Anolis sagrei: one gene and its partner. The protein of the gene in region 1 interacts with the protein of each later gene in a pairwise test. Links are inferred from orthologs where the notes say so. Each region holds a gene or a part of one and is shown on either strand. Other genes may lie near its edges.

Evidence for each region.
Region 2: the proteins of QRICH1 (region 1) and NFIX interact in binary tests that used the Homo sapiens proteins (3 or more experiments, as listed by UniProt). The two-hybrid records come from large-scale screens. The link is inferred for Anolis sagrei from reciprocal best matches to the Homo sapiens genes QRICH1 and NFIX.

What each region holds. Positions count from the first base shown.
Region 1 is NC_090022.1:28,347,263-28,359,311, forward strand, and holds the start of QRICH1 (transcriptional regulator QRICH1), read left to right. Parts: upstream 1-5,597; 5' UTR 5,598-5,713; intron 5,714-12,049. UniProt on the Homo sapiens protein: Transcriptional regulator that acts as a mediator of the integrated stress response (ISR) through transcriptional control of protein homeostasis under conditions of ER stress.
Region 2 is NC_090022.1:162,838,705-162,850,753, reverse strand, and holds the start of NFIX (nuclear factor 1 X-type), read right to left. Parts: upstream 5,293-12,049; 5' UTR 5,185-5,292; intron 1-5,184.

The DNA of each region.
Region 1 (12,049 bases):
TTTTCCTTCATATTAACTAGAAATTGTCCAGAACAGAACAGTTACATTGCAAATCGTAACACTGATATAACCCTGCTTTTAATAGAGTCAGCAAGTGGGTATCAGTATTTCAGTTTACTCTAATGCAGTGTTTCTCAACCTTCCTAATGCCATGACCCCTTAATACAGTTCCTTATGTTGTGGTGACCCCCAACCATAAAAATTCATAACTGGAATTTTGCTACTGTTTTGAATTGTAATGTAAATATTTGATTTGCAGGATGTATTTTCATTCACTGGACCAAATTTGGCAAATACCCAACATGCACACATTTGAATACTGGTGAGGTTGGGGGGGGGGGGGGGGGAAGTATTGATTTTGTCATTTGGGAGTTGTAGTTGTTGGGATTTATAGTTAACTTATAATCAAAGAGCATTTTGAACTCCACCAATGATGGAATTGAACCAAATTTGGCACACAGAAACCCCCCCCCCTTTTTTTTTTGTCGTGTCAGAAGCGACTTGATAAATTGCAAGTCACTTCTGGTGTGAGAGAATTGGCCATCTGCAAGGACGTTGCCCAGGGGACGCCCGGATGAATTGATTTTTTTTATCATCCTTGTGGGAGGCTTCTCTCATGTCCCCGCATGAGGAGCTGAAGCTGATACGAGGGAGCTCATCCGCCTCTCCCTGGATTCGAACCTGCAACCTGTTGGTCTTCAGTCCTGCCAGCACAGGGGTTTAACCCACTGCGCCACCGGGGGCTCCTATAGAACTCCCATGGCCAACAGAAAATACTGGAAAGGTTTGGTGAACATTGACCTTGAATTTTGGAGTTGTAGTTCACCTACATCCAGAGAACACTGTGGACTCAAACAATGATGGATCTGGACCAAACTTGGCATGAAAACTCAATATGCCAAAATGTGAACACTGGTGGAGTTTGGGGAAAATAGAACTTGACATTTGTGAGTTGTAGTTGGTGGGATTTATAGTTTTCCTACAATCAAAGATTATTCTGAACCCCACCAATGATAGAATTGGGCCAAACTTCCTACACAGAATCCCCAGACCAACAGAAAAAACCCCAGTGTTTTCTAATGGTCTTTGGTGACCCCTCTGACACCCCCCTTGCGACCCCCCCCCCCGGGGAAAAACTGCTCTAGTGGAATGTATTACTATATTGTATAGTACAGTATCCTAAAAGATTATTCCTTCATAATATGCTGTGTAACCCTGAAGGGTGGAGTCAACTCTCCATATCTATGGATCTTTTATCAATGGATTCAACCATTCATGGCTTGGGGAAAACATTTAAAACCCAATTTTGCCATTTTATACAAGGAATACCATTTTATTATGCTATTGTAAGTCATGGGACTTGAACATTCATGGAATTCTGTATCTATGGTGCATCCTGGAACCAAACTCCAGTGGGATCACAGTATAGCTTACTTTGTCTTGAAGTAAAGTAATAACATACAATATCTTAGATGAAATAGAAGTGACTAGCTTGATCTTGAAGGAGTTGAGGTTGGTGACAGGGAGCTCTGGCATGGGCTGGTCCATGAGGTCACGAATAGTCGGAAGCAACTGAACGAATTAACAACAACAAAAGATGAAATAACACTTCCTAGCCTAATGAGGAACATTCCATATGTAGACTGGTAAGTAGACAAAACATCGCCTATCTTACAGGTGGGGAATGTATCACATTCCAGATTGGGTATTGGCAAACTTTGGCCCTCCAGGTGTTTTGGACTTGAACTCCCACAATTCCTAACTGCCTACCAGCTCTTAGGCTTTATGGGAGTTGAAGTCCACCCCAGAGGGCTGAAGTTTGCCCATGCCTGTTCCAGGTGCTTTTGGAGCATAATTCCTCTCATCCCTGACCACTGGGCATACTATTGGAAGCTGGGTCCAGCACCATCTGGATAGCTATTGCCATATCTCCCATGTCTTAACCTTAATTTGGGGGGATCCAGAATTTGGGGGAATCTTGAATAAGAGTTTACAGTGGAGATATGCTGGAATACTCCCAAAAGGGATTGGGAAGAGTGAAAGCATGCAATCTTTATATATAGTTCCAACATTAAACATGTAGTGGAGTGTTTAGGCTCAAGCCCAAAGAGATCTAATTTTTGGAAATATATCTTTCACCTGGAATGCAAGTGTAGTATAATGGTCTGTGTTGCGTTATTAGGCAACAGCAAACACTTCCCAAGGGTCTAGGTCTGTGTGATGGATTTTCGAATGATGCGTGCAGATCCAAATAAGGTGGCCTTTTGCAGTTGACAGATCACGATTTTGTCAATGTTTATTGTTTCCAAATGCCAGCTGAGATCTTTTGGCACGGCACCCAGTGTGCCGATGACCACTGGGACCACCTGCACTGGTTTATGCCAGAGCCTTTGCAGTTCCATTTTGAGGTCTTGAGAGCGGCTGAGTTTTTTCTGTTATTGTTCCTCAATGCGACTGTCACCCGGTATGGCGACATCAATAATCCAGATTTTTTTTCTTTTCCACAATTGTGATATCTGCCTTATTGTGTTCCAAAACTTTGTCAGTCTGGATTCGAAAGTCCCACAGTATTTTTTGCGTGTTCATTTTCCACTACCTTTGCAGGTTTATGATCCCACCAGTTCTTTACTACTGGCAGGTCATACTTGTGGCACAAGTTCCAGTGAATCATTTGCGCCACAGAGTTGTGCCTCTGTTTATAGTTCATCTGTGCGATTTTCTTGCAGCAGGTGAAGATATGATCAATGGTTTCATCAGCTTCCTTACACAGTCATCAGCTGATTTTTCGATCCTGGTCTTTATTGCATTTGTTCTGATGGCTTGCTCCTGCAAGAATCAGGCCTTCTGTTTCCTTCTTCAGGGTTCCATTCGTGAGCCATAACCAGGTCTTCTCCCTGTCAACTTTTCCTTCAAGTAACTGCCCATGCAATGCTTTGTTGTGCCAGCTGTCAGCTCTAGTTTGGAGTGCAGTTTTCTTGTACTGGTTCTTTGTCTGCTGTGCTTTGAGAAGTTTTCGATTAGTGACTTCGATTAAAGCAGGTACTTGGCTTTCCTTGTCATCATCATTATTATTTGCTTGCTTGCTTGCATGCTGGTCACTTCTGTGGCGAGAGAATCAGCCGTCTACGAAGACGTTGCCCAGGGGACGCCCGGATGTCTTGCAATCCTGTGAGGAGGCTTCTCTCATGTCCCCCACCGGGAAGTAGCAGCCAATAGTGAAAGGACCAAGGCAGAGACATCTCCAGCTCATCCCCTGTTTGGGTATCAGCCAGCACGTCAATGACTTAAATCTAGAAATAGTTTTCTAAGATCTACAGAGACACTCGCTGGAATACCTCAGCAAGCGAGAGTCCAAAAGTGGCAGGCTCAAACCCAGCACCTCAACCAATGGCTGATACCAAATGAGAGACTCCCCCCTGGGCGCACAGAAAACTGGGTGACTTGGAAGGCACTGAACAGACTGCGCTCTGGCACCACGAGATGCAGAGCCAACCTTCAGAAATGGGGCTACAAAGTGGAATCCTTGACATGCGAGTGTGGAGAGGAGCAAACCACTGACCACCTGCTGCAATGCAACCTGAGCCCTGCTACATGCACAATGGAGGACCTTCTTGCAGCAACACCGGAAGCACTCCAAGTGGCCAGATACTGGTCAAAGGACATTTAACCAACTACCAAACTCACAAGTTTTGTATTTGTCTGTTTGTTTGCTTTGTTCTATTAGAAATGTAATATAACGGAATGGTTGCTCTGACACGACAAATAAATAAATAAAAGTGTTCCATTCGTGAGCCATAACCAGGTCTTCTCCTTGTCAACTTTTCCTTCAATCTTGTCAAGGAACTGCCCATGCAATGCTTTGTTGTGCCAGCTGTCAGTTCTGGTTTGAAGTGCAGTTTTCTTGTACTGGTCCTTTGTCTGCTGTGCTTTGAGAAGTTTTCGATTAGTGACTTTTCCCTTCAATTTTGTCAAGGAACTGCCCATGCAATGCTTTGTTGTGCCAGCTGTCAGTTCTGGTTTGAAGTGCAGTTTTCTTGTACTGGTCCTTTGTCTGCTGTGCTTTGAGAAGTTTTCGATTAGTGACTTTTCCCTTCAATTTTGTCAAGGAACTGCCCATGCAATGCTTTGTTGTGCCAGCTGTCAGCTCTGGTTTGGAGTGCAGTTTTCTTGTACTGGTTCTTGGTCTGCTGTGCTTTGAGAAGTTTTCGATTATTGACATCGATTAAAGCAGGTACTTGGCTTTCCTTGTCATAATTATTATTATTAAACTGCATTAATTCCACAATGCAGATGCACCTCAAAGTTTTGGAACCACAAACCCTAAGGATTGGTGTCTTCTTAATTTGAACTCTCTGCCCCGGAGTATGGTGGAGAATCCTTCTTTGGAAGCTTTTAAACAGAGGCTGACTGGATGGCCCATGAGGTCTCATTCATGAGCCATAACCAGGTCTTCTCCCTGTCAACTTTTCCTTCAATTTTGTCAAGGAACTGCCCATGCAATGCTTTGTTGTGCCAGCTGTCAGCTCTGGTTTGGAGTGCAGTTTTCTTGTACTGGTTCTTGGTCTGCTGTACTTTGAGAAGTTTTCAATTAGTGACTTCGATTAAAGCAGGTACTTGGCTTTCCTTGTCATCATTATTATTATTAAACTGCATTAATTCCACAATGCAGATGCACCTCAAAGTTTGGGAATCACAAACCCAAAGGATTGGTGTCTTCTTAATCTGAACTCTTTGCCCCGGAGTGTGGTGGAGAATCCTTCTTTGGAAGCTTTTAAGCAGAGGCTGGATGGTCATCTGTCAGGGGTGATTTGAATGCAATATTCCTGCTTCTTGGCAGGGGGTTGGACTGGATGGCCCATGAGGTCTCATTCATGAGCCATAACCAGGTCTTCTCCCTGTCAACTTTTCCTTCAATCTTGTCAAGGAACTGCCCATGCAATGCTTTGTTGTGCCAGCTGTCAGCTCTGGTTTGGAGTGCAGTTTTCTTGTACTGATTCTTTGTTTGCTGTGCTTTGAGAAGTTTTCGATTTTTGACTTTGATTAAAGCAGGTTCTTGGCTTTCCTTGTCATAATTATAATTATTAAACTGCATTAATTCCACAATGCAGATGCACCCCAAAGTTTAGGAACCACAAACCGTAAAGATTGGTGTCTTCTTAATCTGAACATTGGGGCTCTCTATGGTGGCACAGGTTTTTTTTTTTGGGGGGGGGTGTAAACTTGTCATTATTATTGTTGCTATTATTATTATTAAACTGCATTAATTCCACAATGCAGATGCACCCCAAAGTTTGGGAATCACAAACCCTAAAGATTGGTGTCTTCTTAATCTGAACATTGAGGCTCTCTATGGTGGCACAGGTTTGTGGGGGCGGGTAAATATAATAATATAATAAAGCGAAGGAAATAAATGGATATAATCCATAATTTCCTTGCAGGGAACATAGAATAACCTATGCACCATTTTGTCCCTCTCCTCCTCTTTCTGCTCCCCTCCGTCCCTCCCTCCGAAGGCGCCCGTCCACTTTAAGGCGAGGGGCGGGGCCGGGGCTCGAGCTCTCGCGCGGCTTGGAGGCGGAGCTGTCGCGAGCCCGTGCGCGGCCGCTGATTGGCCGCGGCGGGTTGAATGTAAGATGGCGCCCAGGGAGCTGTGAGGGGAGAACCAGACGCGGGGCCTGAGGTGGCGAAGGCGACGGCGGCGCGAGGGCCGGGGGTGAGGCGGAGCTGGGGCCAGGCCGCGGCCTCTTACGGCGGGATGTCGGAGGGAGGAAGGGAGAGAGCGAGGAGGAGGGAAACGGGGCCTCGGTGGGGGGAAAAGAAAAATATAGGAGGGGGTTAGGGGAGGGGAAGAGGCCTCAGTGCGCGTGCACGCGTCGGTGATTGACGGCTACGAAGAGAGAGGGCGGGATCGGGGCCCTGTCTCCTTTCTCTGTTCTCCCCTTGTGTTCCGGGCCGCGCCTTGGCGTTCCAAAACTCTCTCTTTCTCCCCCCCCCTCCTCCTCCTCCTCTGCGGCCCCGCCCACTGGGAGGAAAAGGAGAAGGGGGGCTGGCGCGCGGGCGGGCGCGCGCGGTGGATAGAATCCTGGGGACGAGACGAGGACGCGCGCGCGCGCTGCGCCTTTGGAGTGTGCGCATGCATGCTCGCGCGCTGTTTCTTTTTCTCCCTCTGGCCTCGCAGCAGGATTTGAGGGGCCTTTCCGCTGCTGTCGTTGCTGCTGCATAAGCTGCGTCTTGTGTTATCTATCTCTCGCTCCGGGCCTTTGGCGCTTGCTTTGGGCCTTTCCATATACACCAAGGCAGAAAAAAACCCTACAATATCTGCTTTGAACTGGGTTGCCAGAGGGCCACTTCCCCACAGCCCTATATATTCTAGAATATTAAGGCAGAAAATCCCACATTATCTGAGTGTGGAGTCAGATATCCCAGTTCAAAGCAGATATTGTGGGATTTTCTGCCTTGATATTCAGGGTTATAGGGCTGTGTGGAAGGGCCCTGGGTTATCTGAGTCCATACACAGATAATGTGGGATTTTCTGCCTTGATATTCTGAGGTATAGGGCTCAGAATATCCACACTGCCAAATAATCCAGCTCAAAGCAGAAAATGTGGGATTTGATTCAGCTGTGTGGAAGAGGCCTTTGTGTCTCCTGGACGATGCTTATTTTCTCTTCCCACCCTTTTTGGCCTGAAGGTTGCGCTGGAATAACGGACGAGGCGGGGCCTATTCTTTTCTTTTTGGTGTGGCCTACCAGTCCGCAGTAATTTATGACAGGTTGATCCAAAAAGCCTTTGAAATTGCCCACATTGAGTGACACCTTGGCTTTCTTGTGTTGTACTATTGTGGATAATTTGAGGGTTTTTAATTGTTGGTCTTAGTGTATTAACATAACTGAATGTTTGCCCTTTTTGCTGCCCTCAGTCCCTTCGGGGAGCGAAGGCGAGTTAAAAATAAAGTTGATTATTATTATTCTGGTGATCCAGTATAAATACACTTTTGTCTCCTGCATAAAATTATTATAAATTATCTTCAGGTTATCTATGGAAATATCGAAAGGCCCTTCCACACAGCCCTATATCCCAGAATATCAAGGCAGAAAAACCCACATTACCTGAGTGTGGGCTCAGATAACCCAATATCTTCCTTGATATTCTGGGATATAGGACTGTGTGTTTTGAACTTGAATGTATGGCAGTGTTGACTGAGATAACCCAGTTCAAAGCAGATATTTGTGGGGTTTCCTGCCCTGATATTCTGGGTTATATAACTGTGTGGAAGGACCCAAAGAGACTCCAAGGGCCAACTCTCTTCTGTTCATAGGCTCATATAAGGACGTTTCCACACAGCTATATAACCCAGAACATGAAAGCAGATAATCCACAATATCTGCTTTGAACCGGGTTATCTGAGGGTCCTTTAAGTGGGCCCTCAGATAACCTGGGATCTCATCTCAGATTTTCTGTTTATCCCAGATTATCTGGCAGTGTGGACTCATACAATCCAGTTTACAGCAGAAACCTGAGATCGGATCCTGAGATATAGGGGCTGTCTAAATCCACAATGCTATGTAATCCAGCTGTGTGGAAGGGGCCATAAAAGGGACTCCAAGGGCCATTCAGTTCCAACTGTATTCTGCTCATAGATTTATATAAGGGCCCTTCCACACTGCCATATAATCCAATTCAGTGTGAATGCTATACATCTATGTGGAAGGGTCCATAGAAGAGACTCCAGGGGCCATTCAGTTCCAGTTGTATTCTGCTCATAGAGTCATATAAGGGGACTTTCCACACTGCTATGTAATCCAGTTCAGTGTGGATTTTATACAGTTGTGTGGAAGGTGCCATAGAAGAAACTCCCAAGAGTCATTCAGTTCCAACTCTGTTCTTCCATGCAGAAACACCAGCTCAAGCACGACTGTAGAAATCATGAGAAATACATGTATATCAAATCCATGTATCACCATCTGTATTTTGTATTTTATTGTAAGTAATATTTACTTAAGATTTATTTAAGATTTAGGAAGGGTTCCTGCAGGCCAATAAAGGCCTACTTTCAGAGAAGGGGGCTCCACTAGGCTCCAAGGTAGAAAGCATGATACTTCACTGCTGAACAGCTCTTACCATCAGGAATTTTTCCTAATATTGTTTTATTCACACATCACTAACATTCTCCTTTTTTAAAGTATAAACTTTAAAAATATTAATTAAAATGGACGAAATAATAGGAGACATTATTCAAAAGGTGGAATCTCTTTTCCAGCACTTTGAATCCATTGTTCAATGTCTTTGTTTCTGGAGCAGCAGAAAAGAAGCTGGTTCCATCATTTATTTGATATCCTTTCACATATTTCAATATAGCTTTCATGTCCCCTCTCATCGTTCTTTTCTCCAAGCTAATCATACCCAGCTCCCTAAGCTGCTCTTTATTAGGACTTCCAGACCATTTTGGTCATGTTCCAGCTTGTCATCTATATCCTGTAAATAAAGCGTACATGGAAGACAAGTGAATTTCATGCTTGGACATGGGTCCCATGTCCAAGAATCCCCAAATACAGGGTGAGGCAGCATAACTTCCTTTTTCAAAACTTAATAAAACCCATTGTATGTATCAGATTTTTTATAATGTAGGCGCATACCTAAAGTTTTGTTTTACGTAGTTTTGAAGATCAAATTAGGTAGGTGACGTCCCCCATTCTCCATACACTGATTAAGCCGATTTCTGGCGTTTGTCGTGACTCTTGCCAGCATAGCAGGCGTTATGTTGGCACTTTCTTCCTGGATGTTGGTCTTCAAATCTTATAGGGTCCTTGGACGGTTCACATAAACATGGGATTTCAAAAAAACCCCATAGAAAAAAATCACAAGGGGTCAAATCTGGAGAGCGGGCCAGCCACTCCAAATCCACTCGAAAAGTAGGCCTCAATGGCAAAAGCACTCTCCTCACTGTTCCAACGCATGATGGCGACTGAAGTGTGTCAGGACAAAACTTTGTACTCCCACCTCTGGAACGAGACCACTAGCTACATCTTTAACCGACTGAATATTGTGCATTTAAAAAAAGGAAGTTATGCTGCCTCACCTATGCTGCCTGTATTTGAGATATGGGATTCTCAGCCTGTACTTGTTGAGAGCCTTATGGATGCTCTGTAGTGAACAGTTTCCACTGTGAAATGCATATGGGCCTGATAGGCCAATTTAAAGATCCTATGGAGGTGTGGCTATTTTATAGAATTAATGCACTTTTACACCACTAACTGCCATAGCTGAATGCAATGGTATTTGGGGATTTGCAGTTTGTTGAGGCACCATCACTATTTGGCAAAAGAGGCGAAAGACCCTGCAAAAGTATAAATCCAATTATTCCATAGCATTGAGTCATGACAATTAGAGTGATATCAGACTGAATTCTCCAGTTAGGTTCATGCTAAGTAACTTTTTTCCTTTCAGTTTATAATAGTTTCTGTATTTCACCTTTTTAAAAAGGGAATACCTTTTGGATAGTGTTCTTTATTTGTAATAGCTAGTTAGACTATTCTTCCTCTTTAATTAGGCTCAACTTAGAAATAGGTGAAGGAATCAATTGACCTCAGTGAACCAGTCTATTATGTGGATTATATCTTGAGCATCTTTTGCAGTTTTGAGGTAAACATAAAGGTGAACAGATTTATTTGGGCCAAACCCATAATGGAAATATTTCCTTTCATTCACTTGTATTTCCATATTTATTTATTAATTTACTTCATTTATATACCACTTTTCTCAGCCCTTGGGTGACTCAAAGCAGTTAACAATAGCAAAATTCAATGCTCAACATCATAAAAACAGTTAAAAAACAATTAAACAATGACATAATAAATAATAAATTAAACATCAATATAACATCTCATTAGCATCTCATAGGTAGAATCAAGATCCAATCTCATCATCCGTTGTTCCATATTCCCATAGGACCTTTTAGGTTATCAAAAGCTTTGGCTGATACATCTGTACAGGTAAAGCACAGCAGATGTCTAGTATGGAAATTCCTGCACCTGCTCTCCATCGTGTCTTACCTAGTGGAACGGACAATGAATCCTTTCTTGGTGGAACTCTGATTGGTCTTGGGTGGCTTACTAAAAGAAAAATATTGTAGTACAGGCAGTCCCCAAGTTACAAACATCTGACTTACAAATGACTCATAGTTAAGAACAGGGGTGAGGCAACAGGAAATGAGAGAAATATAGCCCTCGGATGGAACATTATCTCCTTAAAGACTTCTTACCAATCTTTGTTTTCACAACATGCCAATTTTTTGAAAATCCAATTATCACAAGGACTGAAAGTGAGGTGAAATCTTCTGAACAAGGGCTCAGACAAAACAAAACAAAAAAAAAACCACCCCAAAACACAGGAGTATTAACCCATCCCTGTGCTATCCAAAACTAAAATGTATATTTTTTCTGGAATTACACTTTAAAATATACTTAACAAACAAATTCAACTTAAGAACAAACCCTCAGAACGTATCCTGTTTATAACGTGGGGACTGCCTGTAGATGTCAGCAATGTCTGTTTTGAGGTTTAAAAAGTGCTACCCTTACACATTAATGCTCTTGGTTTTTTCTCCCATATTTTTCCCATCATTGAATTCATGACAGTTTACAAAGCTTTCTAAACAGTCTTCCATTCTGATCTAAACCTAGACTTGGTTCACTTTCATTAAAGTTCTGTAAGAAAAGACTGCCACCAGTAATCAAAATCTAGGCTATTTGAACATCAAATAGCAGTTAATCCATAAAATAAAATTCTACTCAGTTAATCTTCCCCAAAAGAGCAAAAAGGAATGACCAGTTCTCATTATCTTGTTTTTTCTACATCTAAAAAAAGTTAATGCTTCTCGTTTTCATTATATTTATCATAGTACTCCAAAGCATACAAAATACAGCTAATATTGTCTATGAAAAATATTTTGGGTAAAAAGTAAGGTCACATTGCCCTTCATGTTTCAAATCCTGTAAAGCTTTATTCAATATTTCTACTAGACTTAAAGTAAATAGTTTGTAGTCATCAAGGAGATAGGTATATAATTCTTCAGCTCAGATGCATTTCATTCTTGCTTAAGAACCAAAATAATACAAAGTATACAGAATTTTCCTAGATGTCAGAATGAAATTATTTTAAGGAAACTTGTTAATACCACTAAAAAACATCAGAGAGGGGGAAAAATTTTAGGCATTAGAAAAGCTGTTGAACTCTAAAAGCAATGAAGTGTAACACCAGGAGCTCCCAGTAGGGCAGTGGGTTAAATTCTTGTGCTGACAGGTCAGTGGTTTGAATCTGGAAAGAGCGGGTTGAGTTCCCTCTTACACCTCCAGCTCCCCATGAAGGGACAAGAGAGAAGCCTCCTACAAGGATGGTAAAAAAATCAAAACATCTGGGCATTCCCTGGGCAACGTCTTTGCAGACGGCTAATTCTCTCGCACCAGAAGCGACTTGCAGTTTCTCAAGTTGCTCATGACACACAAAAAAAGTGTAACATTGGCTTCCCTGTATATATTTCTTAAAATAATAGGTAAAATGTGGCTGGATTGCATTTATTCGTTCTGTCTTGTGTAGAATAGAATGTAATGCTTCATCTCTCTTGGGGGTAGAAAGAGTTCTCTTTGGACGTACCATGTGACCTGGCCTCCTCAGAATCAGCATCAATAGATGGTCATCTAGTCCTGACTTGTATTGATTTTACTGTAATGGGAGTTGTGTGGCAAAGTGTAATGTTCAGCCCTGTACTTCTCTGTAGTGTCTTTAAGTGCTCATGCTCTCTTTTTCCCCTTGTTCTATGTCAGCCCATCTGCACTTTGAAAGGAAATCATAAAGGTTTGTTCTTCTCTTGCACTTGACATATTCTCAAAATATATTTAAAAAATAAAGTTGGATCATTCAGTCTAACCTCATTCTGCCATACAGGAAAACACAATCAAAGCATCCCCAACAGATGGCCATCCAGTTTCTGTTTAAAAATCTCCAAGAAATGAGACTGACACACTTCTAAGCAGCATATTTTGCTGTCAAAA
Region 2 (12,049 bases), about 130 Mb from region 1:
TGAGACTACTCAAAGGGAAATGAATGTTGTCATAGGGATATTGGTAGTTGTGTCTAAAAGGCATACAGGGAGTACTTTGTCACATAAGGGAGGTCTTGTTGATAGAGATTGAAAAATTGTCTATCTTGTTTTCTCCTGTCCTTGAAGTTCTTAAACCTCAAATTCTTTCCACTGGGAAATATAAAGAAATTTGCAAATGTTGGTAAATTAGTCAACAAATTCGCTAACATTATATCCTCATCCATTTGTGCCAGCCAAGCGCATGAGCTTCAACCTTTTTCAACACTGGATGTGTCTGCTTGTAATTAAATATGCAGAGTCTCTTAGTGAAGCATCCAGACCTCTGGATGAATCTATCCTGTAGTTTTAATTTCTCCGAAATGCATACCTTCTTAAATCTTATGTTCTTTAATTCTGAATCTGAAGAAATCTGGGACTTAAACTAGATCCATATTCAGTAAATAATGAAATGTGAGTCTCACTCACAGCCTGGTTTGTTGCACAGAGATCCTGACAAGGCCAGCCTGACTTGCAATCCTAGTAATGCTGATGAGGGATGCATCTATACTGTAGAATTAATGCAGTTTGACACTACTTTAATTGTCATGGCTCAATGGTATGGAATCCTGGGAGATGGTAGTTTGGTGAGGCACTTGAAATTTATTTTTATCTGGAATTTTTTAGGTCTTTTGTCTTTAGGCCCTATTTATAATATGAGTCACAAAAGGTAACAATGATGTATCTCTTCAATTGCTGTCAAACTGCAACTCCCAGAATTTCTCACTGTTAGCTGGGCTATGACTGATGGGAACTGCAGTTCAACGACATCTGCAAGATGGCACAATTCCATACCCTGGTGTGAACGCTAGCTTTCCTTGCTAGCTTTGGCAGAGAAAACTTGTAAAATTACAATTCCCACAGTTACGGCAGTAAAAGTGTTGTCGAACTACATTAAATCTACTATGTAGATGCACTCAAAGTAACATTCAATCTATGGCTCTCAGATCAGTGATGTTCCAAAAAGAAATGCACCTGTTGTGAGGGATTCGGCAACCCATTTCTTGATTTACTGAACTCAGCTGGTGGGAATGAAAAAGTAATTCAGACTTTTGAAGATGATGCCACTGTAACTCCCTTCTCCATCTCTCTACATTTGGGTCTAATCCACCCTGGAATGGGCATGAACATACCAGATCTTTAGTCTCATGCGATTCCATGCACACAGTTTTGAAAGGTCTGTTGTTCATTCGTTCAGTCGCTTCTGACTCTTCGGGACCTCATGGAGCATCCCACGCCAGAGTTCCCTGTCGGAACTTCCCTGTCACCATCCCCAGCTCCTTCAAGGTCAATCCAGTCACTTCAAGAATGCCATCCATCCATCTTTCCCTTGATCGGGCCCTCTTCCTTTTTTCTTCCATTTTCCCCAGCATCATTGTCTTCTCTAAGCTTTCCTTTTTTCTCATGATGTGGCCGAAGTACTTCAGCTTTGCCTCTACTATCTTTCCCTCCAATGAGCAATCGGGCTTTATTTCCTGAAGTATGGACTACTGGGATCTTCTTGCGGTGCAAGGCACTCTCAGCACTTTTCTCCAGCACCACAGTTCAAAAGCATCTATCTTCCTTCGCTCAGCCTTCCCTAAGGTCCAGTTCTCACATCCGTACGTGACTATGGGGAATACCATTGCCTTGACTTTGTGGATCTTTGTTGCCAGTGTGATGTCTCTACTCTTCACTATTTTATCGAGATTGGACATTGCTCTCCTTCCAAGAAGTAAGTGTCTCCTGATTTCCTGGCTGCAGTCTGTGTCTGCAGTAATCTTTGCACCTAGAAATACAAGGTCTGTCACGGCATCCACATTTTCTCCCTTTATTTCCCAGTTGCCAATCATTCTTGTTGCCATAATCTTGGGTTTTTTATGTTTAGCTGCGACCCAGCTTTTGCACTTTCTTCTTTCACCTTGATTAGAAGGCTCCTCAGCTCCTCCTCGCTTTTGGCCATCAAAGTAGTGTCATTTGCATATCTAAGGTTGTTAATGTTTCTTCCAGCAATTTTCACCCCAGCATTGCATTAGTAAAGCCCCGCACATTGCATGATGTGTTCTGCATACAAGTTGAATAGGTTGGGTGAGAGTATACGCCTTTCCCAATCTTGAACCAGTTTGTTGTTTCATGGTCAGTTGAAAGGTCTAGTTGCACACATTTGGATTCACAAACCTGAGTTCACTTATTTTTTAAAGGACCTGTTTCAAGTCCCTGAGTTTATGGATATTCTGTCCTTGCCCACAGAAACCCAGGTGGATCTCCCATCTCCTTCAAGACCAATCTTCCCCTTATCACACTTCATCTCTCTGCCTGGCTGCCTCCATTTCATTTCTTACTTGCCATGATGCTATTTCTTTGCTGGACATAAAGGAGACCACGGAAATTGCCAGCTTCAAATATCAAGCTGAAATGCAAATTATGCACAAGTTTGATGTACAGATTGCTGAAAATGAAGGCCAGAGTATATATTTCTTTGAATTAAGGAAACAGACCTTTAAATGAGTTCCTAGATGGCCCATTTCTGCCACACAAAAAAATGTGATTTCCTTATTGAATATTTCGAGGCTGTTCAGGGCTACACTGATGTGAGGTTTTTTGTTGAAGAGGGCCACCATTTCAACGCAGCCCACAACTGTATAGAATGAAGTATTCCACAAGTGATCCTGGAACCTCTCCCTTCTTTCAGAAAGAACAAGATAAGTAAGGTTTTGTTTTCCTGATACACCATCTGCAATGCTATCCATCCGAAATGAACTTAATCAGAACGTTTTAAAAAATGTTCAAGCTACAAAGTATAGTTTTTCTTCCAGAGGACCATAGACAGGTATTAAGATTCCAGCTTTTGTCATGTAACTTTTAAGATTCAGAAATGACCCAATCGGTTTAGTGCTTTAAAATATTACTGTTTCTAAAGGGAAAGACATTAGCACTTAAATAAATCTCTCTTTAAAACATCAGAAAGACATAAAAGAAAAGAATTTGGGATAGGCTTTTCACCCAACATATTTTTCCTTCTTAACACTGATATTTTATCAAATCACTGATTTTGTATGAAGGCATTTTGTAGGTATTTATTTTGTAAACTATTTATTTTAATTTCATTTTTCTTAATAAGGCCTCAGATGGTTTAGGAAGTAGTATAATTATACTATAGGTTTATAATTAAATGATAATTGGTTAGCATGCTGGCTTCTGAAGCACCTTTGTTCAAATGTCTGCTAGCTGCCTGAAAATCTGGAATGCTGTATTTAGTAAATTCCTGATCAGTCACGGTGATCAGAAAACTTGAGCATTTATCAGTAGTACCTTTTAAAATTTGGGCACATAATCTGGAATCCCAGCCTCTAGTTCCTTTTAGCTAAAAATCCTGCGGTTCCAGCTCCTCTCCCTTCTGCACTCTCTGAGCTGATGTCTTCTGCCATTCACCTGCCTTTGACTTGCGGCAGAGAAGGAAGCCACAGTTCCTGCCACGGCGTGAGGCTATGGACCTTGCGAACAAGGAATGGGGCTAGTTATTATTATGAGCTGCAAATAATGTGCAGCAATTGGCTTCATATTCTGTGAGGCCTGCATGCCCCGATACTTTTGGAACAATATTTGACCATGATCTGGTTTGCTGAAAAGATCAGGTTTTGTTGAAACCACCGCTCTCTTCCCCACTCTCACTTCGAGGCCGCAAGTTCCTATTTAATGAATCCAGAAATATTGAAAAAGAGCAAGCATATGTTTGTTTTTCAATTTTGCATTTACAGTCAGGAGTTGAACATTTCTGGATAGCTTGCAGTGAATATTTCTGGTCTCCAAAAGGAGTGAGAGGGGAAAAAATGCCAAACAATTCAATTTCAATTATACGACGGTCAGATTATGCTAACCATGTACTTTTAGACTCAACCGAAAACTCATGGGCAGCAGTACTTAGGTCCCTGTCTAGATTTATTTAGATCTTTTCACAAAATTACCCAGATCAAGAGCTCTGCCTTTGCCTTTCAGTCTGCACAATAATTGCCCATCTCAGATAATCCTGAGATTACATAAAGTATAGCAAGGAAATTTCTTCAGGCATTTTCTTCTTTGCTGTACTTGCCCCATCAAGAGCACAGCTACTGAAATTTAATACAAGCTTTTTCCGTCCTCTTGATTTTTTTTCCCCTCCAGAAATCCTCCAAGCCATTACAATGGAACTCAGCTAAAAGATTGCCTTTTATTAGAGCCTTGCAATATTTCAACCAACAACTGTTGGTGAGTTTTCAGATTTCTTCTTTTTTTAAGACTGTTTGCTTCCCTTCCTTTCTAAAACGATTAAATAACTTATTTTTAAAGTCACACTGTGTATTTTTAAAGGTAATAAAAATCTTACCACAAAATTCACTGGGAAGCGAAACATTGTGCCAGCCCTGAAATGAATGCGATCTGTGCAAGGGCTCAGTCAGCCTTTGCCAACCTCCCCTTCGTCTCTACAATCCTGGCACAAGGCAGAGTCCTGGTGGATGGTGCCCTTCGCTTCTTTGTCATTTCTCTCTCATTTTAGATGCTTTACATTTTCTTTATACGGGATTTCTTTTTTTCTGCAACTATAAAACTTTTTGACAATTCCCCCCTCAAACAGAGATATTAAGCAACTGAGAATAAATCTATATAAGAAGGATATGGAATTGAAACAGTGCTATGTTAAAGCTGAGGTCTTACCAGTGGAAAATACTATATAAAACCTGAACATTCATAATGGAAAAAATTCATTTCAGGAGAAGACATCTCATTTCTACCATTTGACATGTGAAAAAAGTAAAGGGGAAAAATAATTACAGGTTGTCATGTTCACCTTTTATCAGAAAATGGTAGACATTAGCAAACATATATTAATTTAACATTGAAATATTTTAGAAATAGGTCTCACTCATAAATCACTATATTGATATTGATATTTCAAATTAGATTTGACAGATCAAAAAGTCTAAAACCTGGAATTTTATTCACTTTCACAAAATAACATTAGTCAGGTAAGCCTCATCTAAAGTAATGGCATTTCCCCCTCCTGTAAATCAAAGATAATGTTTCTCCCTGCCACGAATCATCCCCCAACATGTATAACTTTGGCTTATTTTTTTAAAGAAAGAAATGCAAAAATCTACTAGCTTCTCTTACCAGAGCCAAAAGAAGTCCTCTTTCCCAAGCTGACTCCACCACCACACTGTTATGGTTCAAAAACAAAGACTGGATTTGCTGGAAGCTGTTTCTACCCAGAAGCTGCTACGCAAAAAGTCGCTGGTATTCTCCAAACTGCTGGTTGCTAAAATATTGCCAAGTGCTGGCAAGAGGGGGGGGGGGGGGGGTGCACAGAGGAGGTTTTTCCACTGTGTTAAATGTCCTAGTCTCTGAAAATTCCTTGGAGGTGTTTTATGCACAGCAAGCACACAAAAAATAAATAAACAGGGCAAGAGACTCCTCCTGAAAGTCAGTACTGAAAATGCATAGGCAAACACACACTCAATAGTTATATGGGGAACTAAGTAAATTGAAACTAATGTTTCATACAGAATTTTCACTCCTGCATTATGAAACCCACCCTCACCTTTCCTTGCGTCCTAATCCAAGCTTTTGTTAGACTTAATTCCAAACAAACTAGAAGCAGAATTTCTGTCTCTCCTAAAAGGGAAATGATGCCTCTGTTTACAATTCCCCTGTGTTAATTAATTAGGATGTAAACATATAAAATCAATTGTTTGCAGAAAATCAGAATATTATCTTTTTTTAAAAAAAAAACCCTAATTCAGATGGATGGCAAAAATCAAGGATCAAACTAAACTTAAAATCACATCAGAAGTTACTCTAAGAAGAGCTAGAATTCTGGAAGAAGCCAGTGATGCAAAATGTCATGCAACTTCCTATCAGAGGAAATAATACTTTACTGGCACTGTTTGTACCAAGTGGACCTCACAAGCATCTCTCTTAAGAAGCTATTTGCTTTTTGAGTACAGCAATTGTCTTTCTCCTGTCCACATGACAGGCCTCAGACCAGGAGCCATAATGCTGTAGATATGAATGCAGTGACCATGAGAAGGGATGGGGTTGAACAAGGCAACAACCAGTTGCCTATTGGAAAGACTAAGGAATCCCCTTTGATGGGGATTATAGTCCTAATGCACCCTATGGTCAGGATAGCAAGTTTGGTATAGTACACATGGTGGGATATTGGGTATCAAGGAAGGCCTTTTTTTTTTTTTTTTGTCGTGTCAGGAGCGACCTGAGAAACTGCAAATCGCTTCTTGTGTGAGAGAATTGGCCGTCTGCAAGGATGTTGCCCAGGGGATGCCCAGATGATGTGATGTTTTATCATCCTTGTGGGAGGCTTCTCTCATGTCCCCGCATGAGGAGCTGGAGCTGATAGAGTGAGCTCATCCGCCTCTCCCTGGATTCGAACCTGCGACCTACTGGTCTTCAGTCCTGCCGGCACAGGGGTTTAACCCACTGTGCCACCGGGGGAACAGTGGGGAGCAAGGATACATGTATTACGTCATCTAAATAGGAAACCTTGATATGGTGTGTAGAAGCTTGAGAAACAAAATGGTAGAAAGGCCTTGGAATCTGGAACTTGACATGCTTGCAACTGGAAAGCCTGCTACATTTTATTCAAACAGGGATCTCAGGAAAAGGGGCTCTGATCAAGAGATGCTAAAGTTAGAGAAGCTTATTTTATTTATCGTGTCAGGGGCAACCAGACCATTGTATTACATTTCTAACAGAACAAAACAAACAAACAGATAAAAAAACAGTTTGCAAACTTGGTAGTTGATTAACTGTCCTTTGACCAGTATCTGGCCACTTGGAGTGCCTCTGGTGTTGCCAGGGAAGCTGATAGGAGGAGATGGGTAAGACATTGAACAAAGACTGCTATAATAATAATAATAATTAATAATAATAATAATAATCATAATAATAATCTTATTAGTGTATATACAAACGTACATGCTACCCTAATAATAATAATAATAATAATAATAATAATAATAATAATCTTATTAGTGTATATACACACATACATGCTACCCTTTCCTCCTAGGACTTAAGAAGGTCTACAAAGGTTGCAGCTGAAAGGATAATCATGTAAAATTAAAATAACTTTCAACAAAACTAAAAACAATCAATGGCACACCCATTGAAGAAGAAAACAAGAAATATATACAATTTAGTTGTATTTCTAGTTGTTACTGTGCATATCAAATTTTACTGGGAACCACTCAAAGCCTCGAGGACTGGGAACAAAACCTAAATGGATAGTAAATTTGACATATGTATTAATGAATATTATACTAAGTTATACAAAAAGAGATCACAGAATCATAGAGTTGGAAGAGACCTCATGGGCCATCCAGTCCAACCCCCTGCCAAGAAGCAGGAAAATTGCATTCAAAGTACCCCCGAATGGTGAATATAATATCATATAATATAACACACCCTCTCAAAGCAACCAGCTAGATTAAAGTAGAGATTCAAACCCAGGAAAGAGATTGGTGATATACAGGACTATGAGGTGATGGCTCTTCTATTGCTGGCTATTCCAGTTCGCTTCCCCTTCCTTTATTTTTCATACATTATTTATTTATTTTACAATATTTTATAATATTTTACTTCCCTGCCTGGTGCAAACCCTAAAGGAGCTTACAGTCACATAAAATTAACACACAAGAAATGTGGGTGTTTGCTTCTTTTTAAAGAGTCCCATAAAATAAAAGGACAGCAGAGTGAAGCGTGAGTATACCATGCTCCAATTGCTGCTCTTTCCAAATCTGACTGAAAAACAGTCTCACTTTTCCCAAAACACCCAATTTCGAGGTTAGAGCACCTCCTCTTGGGCAGCTGGTCAGACTGTGGCTTCTGACTTTCCCCAAAAATGGCGAGGAAGCAAGTGGAATTGGGGGGTTACACTTCTGACACTCTCCAACTATCCAAATTTGGCAAGGATAATCCTGATTAATACTCTGTTGCCCCATTTCTTTCGGCTGCTTTAAAAATATCGGTTTCTCTCTATCCTCCCACTTTCCCACTTTGTCCTCAGCATACTTCATAATAGCTACAAATTGAGTTCAAAAGGCAAAAATAGTTTGCACTCCATTAACTCAGCAGGGAGAGAGAAAAAGAGGGGCGACATCTTCCCCGTCCCAGTCAGCTCAGGCCAAAGCAAAATGCTGCAGCCTCTTTGTTTGTTATTCCACATTAATAACTTTTTGTCATCTTGACAACAATCTGATTTTACTTGTCTGCACGTATCCAGTTGAAATGTTGGAGGGTATATTTTAGATATTTATATGAGCTTGACTCAGTAGAAGGCTGTGCTCCTGGGTCTGAAGCAATCTGACTAAACTACTGCAGCAAAAATGGCAACAGTAGTAGTGGTGGAGAGATGTTGAAGGTGATTTGAAAATCTCTTTCTAACCAGAGCTTGGAAATATTTTTTAGCACAGTAAATGCCATGTTGTCTGGGGGATTCTGGGAGTTGTCACCTTCAAGAACTGTCCAAAGGTCCCTTGTTAATGCAGGCTCTCCTTGATGTTATCATGATTGTTGGACCAAGATGACTATCCATCCGATCCAGCGACTGGATGTCCCCTCTAGGTCCACAAGGAGGCAACTGCCAGGCCATCAAATGCTAATCAAGGCGTTCAGTTGAAACATTCACACCTAGCTCCAACAGACAAGAGTCTTTTGTCTCACCCTGGTCATTCCACAGATATATAAACCCATTTTCCTAGTTCCAACAGACCTCACAACCTCTGAGGATGCTTGTCATAGATGCAGGCAAAACGTCAGGAGAGAATGCCTCTAGAACATGGCCATATAGCCCGAAAAAACCTACAACAACCCAATGAAACATGTCCCTTCTCTTCCTCCAAGCCAGCCTGCAACATTTCTGCCCTGCAGCTGCTCAGCTAACTCTCCCTGAGGTTTAAATATTCCCATAGCACCTCCTTTTAAAATAAGAGAAATAGAAGTTTGACTTCTGTTGGGGGAGAGGGTTGTTTTTCAAAGCTACATCTATTTTGAAATGCTTTTTTCCCCCTGCACACTTTCTGCAGTTCATTCGGACTATGGCAGCAGCATTTGTGAACTCTGCGTCATTTCAACCCATTAATTCCTGCCACGCGTTAAATGGAGCAAATGAAAAATAATGTGTCATGTTTTGCTTGTGTGTAATTTTAGGTTCCTCGCTGTGAAGCCTCCCCTCAGTATTAAATGGGTTGGAGTAAGGTGGGGGTCCATGAAAACAGGCAAGAGGAAGCTATGGAGTCTCCGTTGTTCTGCTCGGTCAGAAAAAGCTTTTCTCTCTCTGGATCCAGTTCCCCAACTCAAACACACGAACAGACATATGGGGCTGGTTCAAAGGCAGAGCTGGATTCAGATATTCCAGTTTTTAAATTAAAATTCTTGGCTTAGTGGACACATCCATTGACTCAGGCCTGCCTTTTCCCGGCACTCACCATGAAATGTATTCACTTCCCAAGCCAATCCCTGCACACTCATTAAGAGCACACATGTGTTTCATGCCGGCCAAAATCCACACTGACTACTACGGAGTAAGTTCCATTCAGTTTCTGGGCACAGCTGTGACTTGAGTAAGCATGCAAAAGAGCTCACTGAACTCCTCTGTGGTTTTGTGCAGTTGCTGAGGAATCTTGACCACTGCTGCAGAAAGTGGGCCTTTTAACACCACACAAGTATAGCTCTATAGTTCCACTTTAAGAGCCATGGTTCTATTCAATGGACTCCTGGGATTTGCAATGTAGAATTGCCTAACATTTTCAGCTCTAGTATCACACCAAACTACACATCCCAACATTCACAGGATACAGTCATAGCAATTAAAGTGTGATAATAATGCAATAACTGCATAGTGCAAGAAGGATGAGGATCTTGCAGTCCTCACTGGGGCAAAAGCCAATGTGCACCCATCATATCCTTTCTGTTGTTCTATCCTTAGTCAAGTTTTAATTCCAGGATAAGCTACAGCCATGTTACAGCCTCGGGGCCCTTCCAGTCAGCCCTAATATCCCAGGATCTGAACCCAGGTTTTCTGCTTTAACCTGTATTATATGAGTCCACACTGTCAGATAACTTGGGATAAACAGAAAACCACAATCAGATCCTGGGATATTTGGCCTGTCTGGAAGGGCCCTCAGTCTGTCTGTCCTCCCTATACTCTATGCAATTCAAGGTGTGTAGTAACCAAATCCAAAAGTTATTTTGGCCCAGCAAAGTTAAGCTTCATGCCCAGTCATCTTTATCATAGAATATCTTCTCATATATTTCATTCTGTAAAAATGCTTGTAAGAAACTTGTAAGAAACAAGCAGGAGTCAACATAGTATAGTGGTTTGAGAGTTAGATTATGACTCTGGAGACTAGGGTTTGATTCCCCACTTGATCATGGAAACCCTTTCTGGAAAAGTCAAACTTTCTGAACAAACCCTGCAAGAAAACCCAGGGTAGGTTCACCTTATGGCTGCCATACATTGGACTTGAAGTCACACAACAAGAAGCAAGAGAGCATGGCGCTGCACTGTTCCCTCCCCAAAAACCCCTTTCAGAGTCAGAGCTATAAATATAGGACATATATAAAGACTAGCCATCCCCTGCCACGTGTTGCTGTGGCCCACATGGGGGTTCTGTGTGGGAGGTTTGGCCCAATTCTATCGTTGGTGGGGTTCAGAATTCTGTTATTGTAGGTGAACTATAAATCCCAGCAACTGCAACTCCCAAATGTTAAGATTCCATTTTCCCCAAACTTCACCAGTGTTCACATTTGGGCATATTGAGTATTCATGTAGAGTTTGGTCCAGATCCATCATTGTTTGAGTCCACAGTGATCTCTGAATGTAGGTGAACTACAACTCCAAAACCAAAGGACACTGCCCAACAAACCCTTCCAGTATTTTCTGTTGGTCATGGGAGAACTGTGTGCCAAGTTTGGTTCAATTCCATCGTTGATGGGGTACAGAATGCTCTTTGATTGTAGGTGAACTATAAATCCCAACAACTACAATTCCCAAATGACAAAATCAATTTTTTGAGTGAAGGACATACATTGTATTATTAGGTGTCTTGTGTCCAAATTTGGTGTCAATTAGTCCAGTGGATTTTGAGTTCTGTTAATCCCACAAACGAACATTACATTTTTATTTATATAGATACACACACGTCCCCTGTGTATCTCTCCAGCTTTTTCTATGGACTTATATCTTCTTTTTTCTAAGCAATCATTAAAATAAAATATATTATCTTCATGCTCACACCCATCAATTCTGGGTGAATCTAAAACAAATGAAAACCACTTAAAATTCTGCCTAAAATCCAGGCAACAGCTCCCTTTAAAGCTCACTAGTGCCCATATTCAACAAAGAGAGATGAGAAACTTCAGGAAGGTTTTGTTTTGGCATGATCTCAGAAATGATGCTAGGACCGGACACACATCACAGCCTGAGAAACAGCTCAGTCCCTCCTCGACATTCTGCTAAATTTCCTCAGGGTTAAAGCTCATAGGACACTCCACAGATTTCACATAAGTCATTTATTCCCAAAATAGTAGCTCAGCTGCAAGTTTGCTGTCGTTTTGCATTTACTGACACCCATCAAAGTGAGTCAGTGTCTACCATTTTTGCACCAACTGGTGTGGAGCTTCAAACAAGCCCTTCTGCAATTCACACAGTTGTACTGTGTTTTATTGGCTCCCCACCACCAAAATCAACAGCAGATGTGGCAATGCATTAGTTAGCAGCTAGGCCTGTGCTACTTAGCTATGGATTTCTACCAACAAACAGCAATTAATAGAGTGAGACATTTATTAATAATGCTAATGAAGATGTCCCAAACAGATGTGTGCTAGTACTAGTCTCAGTCAGCGCCCCAGCTTGCAGCTGCAGGGACATTGTTATGAGAAATAATAATAATAATAATAATAATAATAATAATAATAATCAAAATCTCACACATAATCTCACAAATTTTGTTTGCAAATA